Arabidopsis thaliana: one gene and its partners. The protein of the gene in region 3 interacts with the protein of the main gene of each other region in a pairwise test. Each region holds a gene or a part of one and is shown on either strand. Other genes may lie near its edges. The genes, in order: AT4G16430, NIG1 and JAZ6.

What was found.
Region 1: the proteins of JAZ6 (region 3) and AT4G16430 interact in a two-hybrid assay, tested with the Arabidopsis thaliana proteins (one study listed by BioGRID).
Region 2: the proteins of JAZ6 (region 3) and NIG1 interact in a two-hybrid assay, tested with the Arabidopsis thaliana proteins (one study listed by BioGRID).

What each region holds. Positions count from the first base shown.
Region 1 is NC_003075.7:9,265,230-9,268,986, forward strand, and holds the start of AT4G16430 (basic helix-loop-helix (bHLH) DNA-binding superfamily protein), read left to right. Parts: upstream 1-2,030; 5' UTR 2,031-2,276; intron 2,277-2,364; 5' UTR 2,365-2,369; coding exon 2,370-3,757. Other genes in the region: ADA2B (ADA2 2B), read right to left, coding at 1-53, 497-546.
Region 2 is NC_003076.8:19,000,545-19,004,301, reverse strand, and holds the start of NIG1 (calcium-binding transcription factor NIG1), read right to left. Parts: upstream 1,739-3,757; 5' UTR 1,584-1,738; coding exon 48-1,583; 3' UTR 1-47. Other genes in the region: AT5G46825 (uncharacterized protein), read right to left, coding at 1,803-1,883, 2,019-2,088, 2,123-2,176, 2,241-2,257.
Region 3 is NC_003070.9:27,274,429-27,278,185, reverse strand, and holds the start of JAZ6 (jasmonate-zim-domain protein 6), read left to right. Parts: upstream 1-1,623; 5' UTR 1,624-2,049; coding exon 2,050-2,203; intron 2,204-2,518; coding exon 2,519-2,642; intron 2,643-2,794; coding exon 2,795-3,121; coding exon of another isoform or gene 3,122-3,125; exon of another isoform or gene 3,126-3,645; coding exon 3,646-3,757. UniProt on the Arabidopsis thaliana protein: Repressor of jasmonate responses.

The DNA of each region.
Region 1 (3,757 bases), on a different chromosome or scaffold from region 3:
AAGAAGTAGACTCAAAGTTCTCCACATTAGCCGCATTTTTCTTTTTCCTCGTTCTGCAACAAACGCATAACACGATTCTTTCATGTCAGCTTCAACAGTGAAAAAACAATTACACAGATGAAAACAGAGAAGAGACTACATAGCTACTGAAAGTTTTCAAAAGCAACAAACTTTAAGCGATGCTCATTGTCCCAACTGAAAAATCAATGATTGTTGCACAAAGCAGATGCAAAGAAACTTCAAAATCAATCAATTTCAGCAGAAATTGGCACAATTACATAGATGAAGATAGAGGAGACTATAGCTACTGAAAGTTATCAAAAGCCACAAATTTGAAGCCATGCTCATTGTCCCAACTAGAGATCAATGACAATTGCACAACACAGACTCAAAGAAACTTGAAATTCAAATCAATTTCAGCACAAATTGGCAATTACAAAAGAGAAATCCACAAAAACCCCAAATCGGAAATTAGAGTAGTGAATTAGGAACAAACCTCTGAGTAGGGTCTTCGAAATTTTGGAAGTTCCCTCGAGAGCGACCCATTGATGCCCAAGTAGAAAATTGGATTATTGGGTTATGCGAAACCACAGAGAAGAAGAACCCTAGCGTAATGCCAACATGGGAGACTCACCGGAGAAGATGGAATGGGTACTTGGGGGGGTTTCGTGGAAGAAAGATCTAATCGGAATTCAACAAAACTCGGTCGAAATTTGTGAGGTTTTGGATCTCTACTAATATTATTCAGAAGTTCCGACCGAGAAGATTAAAATTAGGGAAGTCGAGGTAAAGGAAATTTCTAAGGCACTGTACTTTTTAGATTTTTTGGGATTAGACGGTCATGCTTATTACTAAAGCATATGACTTAAACTAAATTGACTCTTATAACTTCAACTTAAAAAACTATTATTTTTTATGTTAATTGTTGAATGGTGGTTGAGGGAAAAAAAAATGAAGAAAAAAAAGCTAAGATAGACCATTTTTATTGGTAATTTTTTATTATTAAAATAATAAAAATAATAAAAGGAAAAGAAAGAGAGTGTAGAATGTTTCTCGTTAAACTATGAAATACTTTATACAAACCATCATAATATTTTTCTCTTTTCAATTGGTTCGCTAAAATAAAAATTTAATCATATATAAAATTATAATAAAATACTAATATTCTTTTTGTTTGAAAAACTGTTTGGGTTTCTTCTTGATGGAGATGTCTTTAATATTTGGTTGGGTTATGGTTATTCGTTTTTAGGTATTTTGTTCATGGACATTTTCAGTAAATGAATTAGCAAGTAAATAAACTTGTATAGGAATAAATGGTTAGTGTTGTCACACACTATCGGAACAACATTATGATGTATTTTAAAATCTTATTGATGCTAATTTGAAAAATTGATTTGGAAGAAGGTTAAGCAAGGAAACAACCATATAAGATAGTTTGATGCTAATTTAAAGTTTCTTATTTTGGTCGAAAATCGAATTATTAGAAATGTTTGAACCTTTTTTATTAGACATCTAGTGATAAATTTTATAAGACTCATGTCAATCGAATAAAAATATCGAATTGTTGTTTTGCTGAACGAATAAGTTTGTCTATATTAGACGCGATTAGTTCTTCTAAACCACATTATCCAAAAAAATCGTGATTGACTACATGGTGTAATGATACCTATCATACCATCTCAAGAATATGGCATGACTCATCCAATTAACAATTGTATTTGCGCATAATTGTAAGATGTGTAAATTCCTTTTCCGCTTATTAACGGTGATTTGCGATAAGTTAATTCAGAAGACGAGTTTCGATTCTCCCATCATAATAGGTTGTACTACGAAATAATTTCCCAACATGTACACATAATCTCGACAAAAATCCAGTGATATGGGTTTACTTGTAGTTGAATAGATATTACACCACAATGACTTGTGGTTTGGTATGTAAGAAAAGGCAAAAGTATAGTTTGCAGTTAAAAAACTGAAGGAAATGATGTCCTTGGTATTAAATTACGATTAAACCCATATTCTCTCTCTCGCATAGTCTCTTCCTCTTTTCTTCTTTCTTCGTCAATTTCAGAACAAGTCACTACAGATCTGAAGTGAACCAAGCTCAGGTTTTGTCTTCTCTTTGATCATTCCTTTCTCAGCAATATAAATTAGAGTTATATCCTTTATAAAGGATTTTGCTTTTTCACCAACAAACCCTAAATTCGGTGTCTCAGCAAGAATCACGTGATTCTCGTTCCTCTTCCTCACGAAACCCATCATCTTCTATCTCATTTGTAAGCAGCGATCTCAATCCAAATACCTTTAATTTTATTTGATTCCATACCCTAATTTTTGTATATTCCATGTCAATGAACGTTTCAGGAGAAATGGGTCAAAAGTTTTGGGAGAATCAAGAAGATCGAGCGATGGTTGAATCCACCATAGGCTCTGAAGCTTGCGACTTTTTCATCTCAACAGCTTCAGCTTCCAACACTGCCTTGTCCAAGCTTGTCTCACCACCAAGTGATTCCAATCTCCAACAAGGGTTACGTCACGTTGTTGAAGGATCTGATTGGGATTATGCTCTTTTCTGGCTAGCGTCCAACGTTAATAGCTCTGATGGTTGTGTCTTGATCTGGGGAGATGGTCATTGCCGTGTCAAAAAGGGTGCTTCAGGTGAGGATTACTCTCAGCAAGATGAGATCAAAAGACGTGTGCTTCGCAAGCTTCACTTGTCGTTCGTTGGTTCAGATGAAGATCATCGTTTGGTGAAATCAGGAGCTCTTACTGATCTCGACATGTTTTATCTGGCTTCTTTGTACTTTTCCTTTAGGTGTGATACCAATAAGTACGGTCCTGCTGGAACCTATGTGTCTGGGAAGCCTCTTTGGGCTGCAGATTTGCCTAGCTGCTTGAGTTATTATAGGGTTAGGTCTTTCTTAGCTAGGTCAGCTGGTTTTCAGACTGTGTTGTCTGTACCAGTGAATTCTGGAGTTGTGGAGCTTGGTTCTTTAAGACATATTCCAGAAGATAAGAGTGTGATTGAGATGGTGAAATCAGTGTTTGGTGGGTCTGACTTTGTTCAGGCTAAAGAAGCTCCTAAAATCTTTGGTCGACAGCTGAGTCTTGGTGGAGCAAAACCTCGGTCTATGAGTATTAATTTCTCCCCGAAGACCGAGGATGACACGGGTTTCTCATTGGAATCGTATGAGGTGCAAGCGATCGGAGGCTCTAATCAAGTGTATGGTTATGAGCAAGGGAAAGATGAGACATTGTATCTAACTGACGAGCAAAAGCCGAGGAAGAGAGGGAGAAAACCAGCAAATGGAAGAGAAGAGGCTCTAAACCATGTGGAAGCGGAACGGCAGAGGAGGGAGAAGCTGAACCAGAGATTCTACGCTTTGAGAGCGGTGGTGCCTAACATCTCCAAGATGGACAAGGCTTCGCTCCTTGCAGACGCAATCACTTACATCACGGATATGCAGAAGAAAATCAGGGTGTATGAAACAGAGAAGCAGATAATGAAGAGGAGGGAGAGTAATCAGATAACTCCAGCAGAGGTTGATTATCAACAGAGGCATGATGATGCAGTTGTAAGGCTAAGCTGTCCGTTGGAAACTCATCCAGTTTCAAAGGTGATACAAACGTTGAGGGAGAATGAAGTTATGCCTCATGATTCCAACGTGGCCATCACAGAGGAGGGTGTGGTTCACACATTCACTCTCCGGCCTCAGGGTGGCTGCACCGCTGAGCAGTTGAAGGACAAGCTCCTTGC
Region 2 (3,757 bases), on a different chromosome or scaffold from region 3:
CACTTTGACCCCATGATTAATTTTCTCAAAACACACCGCAGAAACTCTCAGCTAATTTTCGACATCAACAAATCCCTAAGCTCTTCCTGCTTGTAGATTCTCAACCCCATCTTCACGTTCGCTTGTTGTATCATAAGATCGTTCATCACAGAAATGCTCGCATGATTCACTTCTAACTCCAAATCCATCAAAGCATTCATCAATCTCGCTCCTGGATGATGATCCTTCCTTGATTCAACTCTAACCATTGCATCATCACTTTCCATAATCTTCACTTCGATCTTCATCATCTCTGATGCCTTTTCCTCGTATTTACAAACGCTAGGAATTGCGTTTCGTTGTCCTGCAATCTCCTTGAGTTCATTGAACTGAATCTCAATCGCATGTTTCTCCAATTCAACGTTTTCAGCTTTTGATTTCAGCTCGTTTATGTAACAAACCGCGTCTTCGAGCAACGACGTTTTGTCCATTTTCGATACGTTTGGTACAACCGCTCGTAATGCGTAGAATCTGTGGTTTAGCTTCTCACGTCTCATCCTCTCTGCTTCCACGTGGTTCAAAGGCTTGTCTCTACCATGCGCCGGTTTTCTCCCGCGCTTTTTTCCCTTCTTCTTCTCCAGCATCACCGTCGCGTGAGGGACGACGTTTTGAATCTGATCAGAATAAGTATTAGGGTTCCGATTTTCAAAACTCTGTTTAACATTCTCGCCAAAACTCAGTACATCGCCGCATGGAGCTCTCGCCAATGTGGAAGATGACGTCGAGAAGTTCAAATTATACCGGTTCTGTAGATAAACCGGACTAGGATTCGGGTTACCGGTTACAGTACTTGAACAACTGCTCTCTAACTGAAATGGGAAAAGCTCCGAGTTCGAATTCGGGGCTCCAGAAAAATATTTGGATCCTCCAAAAAGAAACCGGATCCTATTAAAAAGATCCGAATTTGGTCGGATCTCCTCCGTGGATGCAAGCTCCAACACTCCGTTATGTGAAGGAATACACAAGATGGTCTGTAACCCTACATCCCCTCCTTGTTTAGCCCGATCACAACCCGACCCGTAAATCAGATCCGAACCGGTAACCAAAACCGGGTTATAGCTAGCAAACGCCTTACCCGCTAACCCGGATCCGTTACCAAAACTCCACGTCATGGAAACCAAGAAGAACCACTCCATATCCGTCACTTCCACGTCATCGTCATCACTGACGTCGTCTTCAACCACCGGAAACGCTTCGCCGGAGATCATCAAGTTAAGCTCCCGAATAACATTACTCCGACGCTCTTTCTCCTCCGGAGACGACAGAATCGTCTTCTTCCTCCTCAACCTCCCTCGTGTCTTTTCCTCGTTGCCACCAGTGTAAACTCCGTCGCCCCATTTGAGAACTGCTTCACCGGAAAAGTCATCGTACGACGGTTTCCAGAAAATGGCGTAACTCCAGGGCTCGTGGGTTCCATTCAACACAGCATGTAAACGCTTCGGGAGAGTAGTCTCGAGGCTGAGATTCGCCGGAAGTAATGGTGGCGACGGATCGGAGGTCAAGAGAGCTTCGATCATCAATAAGTTATCGTCGGTATTAATCATCGTTGCCGGAGTATTAGAAGTCGTCTCAAGTCTTTGTATTTATATATCTAAACTAAACGAGAAACTATAGAGTATAGAGTGTACTCTTTATTTTGTTTCACACGAGTGCATGAAAATATTACATTTTTCTGTGGTTTTCTTTTCATGAATTTTAACGACCCATGTGCGATAGCTGATGTATCACTATCACCTATCACCAGGTAAAAGGACCACATTTTTCTAGGTAACGGGATTGTTTCGTCGTTGAACAAAATGGATTGAATGAAACACGATTATATGTCGGGAAATTTGCAAAATTGACTAACAAAAAAACTATAATTAAGAAACTAACCAACAACAAAAACAGAGATGATATTTTGTATATAAACTATAATATATACTAAAGTACTCTTATCTACACAATCACCATCTTTTTTATGCTATTACAACCATTACCCTTGCAACCGTCATCATCATCGCATCCACCATTATTTCCACAAATGTCATACCATCATCACCATCACCACTGCAATCGTCACCACCATAGAAACTACCATTACGCTGTCATCTCAACCACCATCACCATTATTGCCGCCGCAATTGACACACGACCACTGCAACCACCAACACAAATATTACTACGACCTACACCATACACACCACCACCACCTTAATCACTTCTTCCTCTCTTCCATTGCTTGTTTCACTTCTCTCGCCTCTTATCTTTTTTTTCTACTTTAACTTAATTAAAACAGAACCGAACTATAGTTTTCTATTTTACTTTCAATTTTGTACCATTCTATTTGCTAGTTAGAACGGAAAAAAATGAAAACGAAGACTCACAAGATCTTATTGAATATTTTCTGGTTTGATCAATATCTAAAATTGAAAATCCCTAACACAAATTTAAACCCAAAATCGAATCGATTTCAATTCGCTTTAGGAAAGGAGAAAAGAGATTAAAAGTATATAAACATGATTTTGTCAGATTTCTAAAAACTGATTCTTGAGATGATTTCATTTAGTTTAATTATTTTTGTTTGGGTTCCATATATAGTATCTTAGGGTTTAGTTTTCTTAAATCAATAGATGTTTTTAAATTAGAATGGATTGATATAAAAAAGTTAAATTTTCTGGAAATTTTTTGTTGGATTGGAGAGAAGAGAAGAAGCAACAAAGAAGATGATGAATGAAAAAGGTCTGTTAAAAAAACATTACCTTTAGATCAATATCTGATTCACAATCCATTACCTTTAGAACATATGGAATATTACCTTTAGATCAATATCTGATCAACAAAACGAAGAAGATGATGAGTCATGGCAAATTGGAAAATAGGGAAATAATGCAGGGATAGACTTGTAATTAGTTAGAGTTTTTGGTTACTTGCTGAATTACGTAAATTATATGGCTATATTCTTAATTTTTGTTCAATTATGGCTATACACCTAGTTCACCCATATATGTTATCACTCTTTCAAAAAAAAAAAAAAAAAAAAAAAATTATCACTCTTTCTTCTTCTTCTTCTTTTTTCTTTTGTTATCACTCTTTAATTCTATATGGATCAGGTTAACAAAACAATGTCAATGGACTTTGTTGCACTGCACTTCCTCATTTTTTTCATTATTACCTATACATTTTGATACTAATATACTCAAAAGTCAAATAACCAATGTTCGATTTCTCCCTTTTAACAATTGGGTTTAACCAAAGTAACGTAAAGAGGCAAAGTTAGCAATGCAATCCTTTAATCTCGCACCCCATCATGATGATTTTAAATAGACATTTTAGTTTTTATGTGTAATGGTGAAGCTTAACATTGATTCTGTGTTTCTATATTTTTTAATGGAGTTATTTTGTAAAATTTAAATAATGACGCAATCTATTGACGGAGCCGTGAATGCTAGATATTGACATTTGACAAAAGAGTTGCATAATTTTGAACTTAAAGTGATTAATGTAACAACAAAAATCTGAAATTACACTGTTTTGTATCTTTGTTTTTTTTTCTTTCAAATTTCATATCTTTATTGGGTTTATGTGGAAGGAAGAGCTTGCATAATGATAAGGAGACCAAGAAAAAGTGGGGAGGAGCAACTGACAAGTTAACACCACATCCTATTTAACAACATTAATGTCTTTTTCTTCATTTTTAAATGGGTACTTAATTTGTAAGATCACATCCTTAAGCTTT
Region 3 (3,757 bases):
TGTCTTCTAATTTTATTTTATTTTCTGATAAGTACCATTTTATTTATGAAGATAACGACTGTACAGAGAATTCCCACCACAAGCTCAAGCTGCAAGACCAAACTTACCCGAAGACAACCTGTTACAGAGACACGCTAGCTCGTAACACTAGATAGAAAGGAAATCTTACCCAGCTCAAAGATTAAGTCTGAAGCACACCTAACCCAAAACTGTTGACACCATCTTGATTATGTCCATATATGAACTTAGGTCTCAAAACAACAACTATTTATTTGATAAATGTTGATATACTCTATTGCTTAAAGGAGAGTCCAACTTCGAGTGGTGACCGGAAGGTTTCGCCGTTGCCTTTTCTTTTTTGCCGTTAACGTTGGTTTGGTAGTCTTAGTAGAATCTTCTCACAATCTTGATTTTTGCATATCAAATCTGTTAGAATATGACATTCCCTTATTTTGGACATGATCAAATATGTGATCGAAACCCAACTTGCGCTTCCAACAATGTAGATAATCTTCATGTGAAATAGCGAATATTATTTGGTCTTTTGTATGTATTAGAAAATGACAATGGATCTATATTGTGTAATTAAATACACACATACATGTGTATATATTAGACTCAAGTTGTTGTTCAACTCTTGAAATCATATGATATTGAAGAGTCTTCAAAGTTCAAAGTATTATGTTCTCATTTTGCAAGTTGCGATAAATAATTCAATAAAAATGATTTTTTCCCTTGGCGCGATCGTCTACGACATTTTGTTTTAAATTCTTTTTTGGTACTCTTTGGCATTGCCTCTTATTCAAATAAAATTCAACGCTCGACTTCATTGAACAAAACGATTAAAAGATTTTATTATTATTATTGTTATAGAAATAATATTTAACTGAGCAAGTAACAAAATTCATATTAGGACTAAACAGAAATCGTTAACCTTTTACCAACATACAAAACCACAAATTCTAATATTAATTACACTCAGTTTTTGTAATTAAAAACAGAAAAGAAAATTAGGCCTATGAAGTATGAACGCTATAATATCCTTTAGCAAAGAGGGAAAAAAAACGCAAATCATGCATGAAATAAGGTTGGTACCGCCAAGATTCCGACACGTGTTGACATCCTAAACGCACATAACAATACTTCACGTGTCCTTAAACTTTGTCGGGGATAAGTAATTGACACCATTCATCGATAAATATCCACTCACAAGTCGTACTGTTGCTAATGGATCCCACATATTAAATTCGTATTAGCCATCGCAGCCGACGCGAGACTTAACTCCGTCAGAACTCCGTTAGACTATAGCGTTTGCAAATGCCCTCATTTACGCCCTTTAATAACGAATATCCTAACCACCACTAAACGAATTACCTCAGAAGGGTAAATTAGTATTTAACAGAAACTCTTGGGACCCGAATGAATTAAATGGGTTAACGCCTTTATGTAATGTCGCCGTCAACTTACAACAGTTTCTTCACGGCTTGTGCAATGAAAACGTGCCGGAACTTGTAACGAACATTGTAGTTTGATTTTTGTAATCAACCATAGGAATAAATCATTTTTTCCGCATATAATTTATTTCCCTATTTCTATTCGTGACAAAACATTTGAGGATATAGGAAATTAATAGCCTATAATATGTTTGACCATAAAAAGAATTTCTTCTTCTTGAACCATCATAAGAAAAATGTGTGTTTAGTCTATTGATCAGTTTTGTGTTCAAAAAAAAAAAAAAAATGTCTATCGATCAGTTAGGTGTAAAAAAAAAAGTTACAAAACTCGTGACAAAAACATTCTATATTGGACACACATCACTGTCACTTCAGACTAAATAAAAAAAAAGAACACGTTATTTCGTTTTCTTTATTTATTCGGGAGAGGTTAAAAGCCACAGAAACTTATTGGCTAGAATTGGTTATTTATAACAACAACACATGAGCAAAAAGCTCAAAACATCTACATACTCTTTGGAATCCTCGATTTTTTGTACGTGTAAAGAAGTCACACAAGAAAATCTTGGGTTGTTGTAATCTTCATCACACTAGTATGTCAACGGGACAAGCGCCGGAGAAGTCCAATTTTTCTCAGAGATGTAGTCTGCTCAGCCGGTACTTGAAGGAGAAGGGAAGTTTTGGGAATATTAATATGGGGTTGGCTCGAAAATCCGATCTTGAACTCGCCGGAAAATTCGATCTCAAAGGTATTTATTTATTTTTCCCTATCTATTCCGACGGCCGCCGCCTATAAAGACCAAAGTTTATATCATATACTTTTAGTATCCTGCTTCGTTGATTATTAGCATAAAGTTTAACTATATATTTTTTTTGTTGAAATGCAAAATTTTAAATCATTTTTTTCTTTTCTTTTCTTTAAACTTAAGCATGGTATTATTTTGGACAGCTTAAGTATATTAAAGTTAGAGATTCTGTGAAGTTTTTTAAAAAACGTAATAAACATGTAATTTGATTTTGATAAATTTTAATCGGTTTGCAATTTCTGTTCTAATTTGTTTTAGGACAACAAAATGTGATTAAGAAGGTAGAGACCTCAGAAACTAGACCGTTCAAGTTGATTCAGAAGTTTTCTATTGGTGAGGCCTCTACTTCTACCGAAGACAAAGCCATATATATTGATCTCAGGTACTGTACACACAAACTTCATATGTATTCGAACTCCTAAAGTGTTTGTTTTCACATTTTGTAGCAATTGAATTAGAGAAAGAACTACCGGTTATAGATGTATGGACTATGGAGTTTGACTAATTGTAAAAATGGGTTTGATTTGATTTTAGTGAACCGGCAAAAGTAGCACCGGAGTCTGGAAATTCACAGTTGACCATATTCTTTGGAGGAAAAGTTATGGTTTTCAACGAGTTTCCTGAAGACAAAGCTAAGGAGATAATGGAAGTAGCTAAAGAAGCGAATCATGTTGCTGTTGATTCTAAGAACAGTCAGAGTCACATGAATCTTGACAAAAGCAACGTGGTGATTCCCGATCTTAACGAGCCAACGAGTTCCGGGAACAATGAAGATCAAGAAACTGGGCAGCAACATCAGGTTGTGGAACGCATTGCAAGAAGAGCTTCTCTTCATCGATTCTTTGCTAAACGAAAAGACAGGTAAACTAAACTCCGAAACTGTTTTGTGCTTGGTTATGCTTTTTCTAGGCCGCTCGTCAAAATGTATGCATAGATTAGGATCAAAGTTTCTTAAAAAAGTTATATGTAAAAATAGCTAATAATTACCATATTAAGACTTATTCGAGTTATTCTAGGAATCCCACATCGGATTAGAAGCGTATTACCAATCAAGTTTAAGTTGAACATTCATGAAATTGAACATAGGGTGGTCCTAGTATGTTTATGAATTATGATTCCTAGAGTAAGATTTCGAGATGTGACTCAAGTGTCATCATTTATAAAGAACATGTAAAAAATCTTACAAGTTACAATGAAATTCGAGATGGGACCTAGAGTAGTATATAAGAGATATGAGTCCATCATCTATGTGTCCTTGATCTAGGAAAATTATTAGTAAAATGTCGAGAAATTTCTAGTTAAAAAACACTAACTAAGAGTTCTTTGTAAATCAAAACTTCAATATCTACTTTGTCTTAAATGTTGATTAATTGTTTTGATTTCAGGGCTGTGGCTAGAGCTCCATATCAAGTGAACCAACACGGTAGTCATCTTCCTCCCAAGCCAGAGATGGTTGCTCCATCGATAAAGTCAGGCCAATCGTCGCAACACATTGCA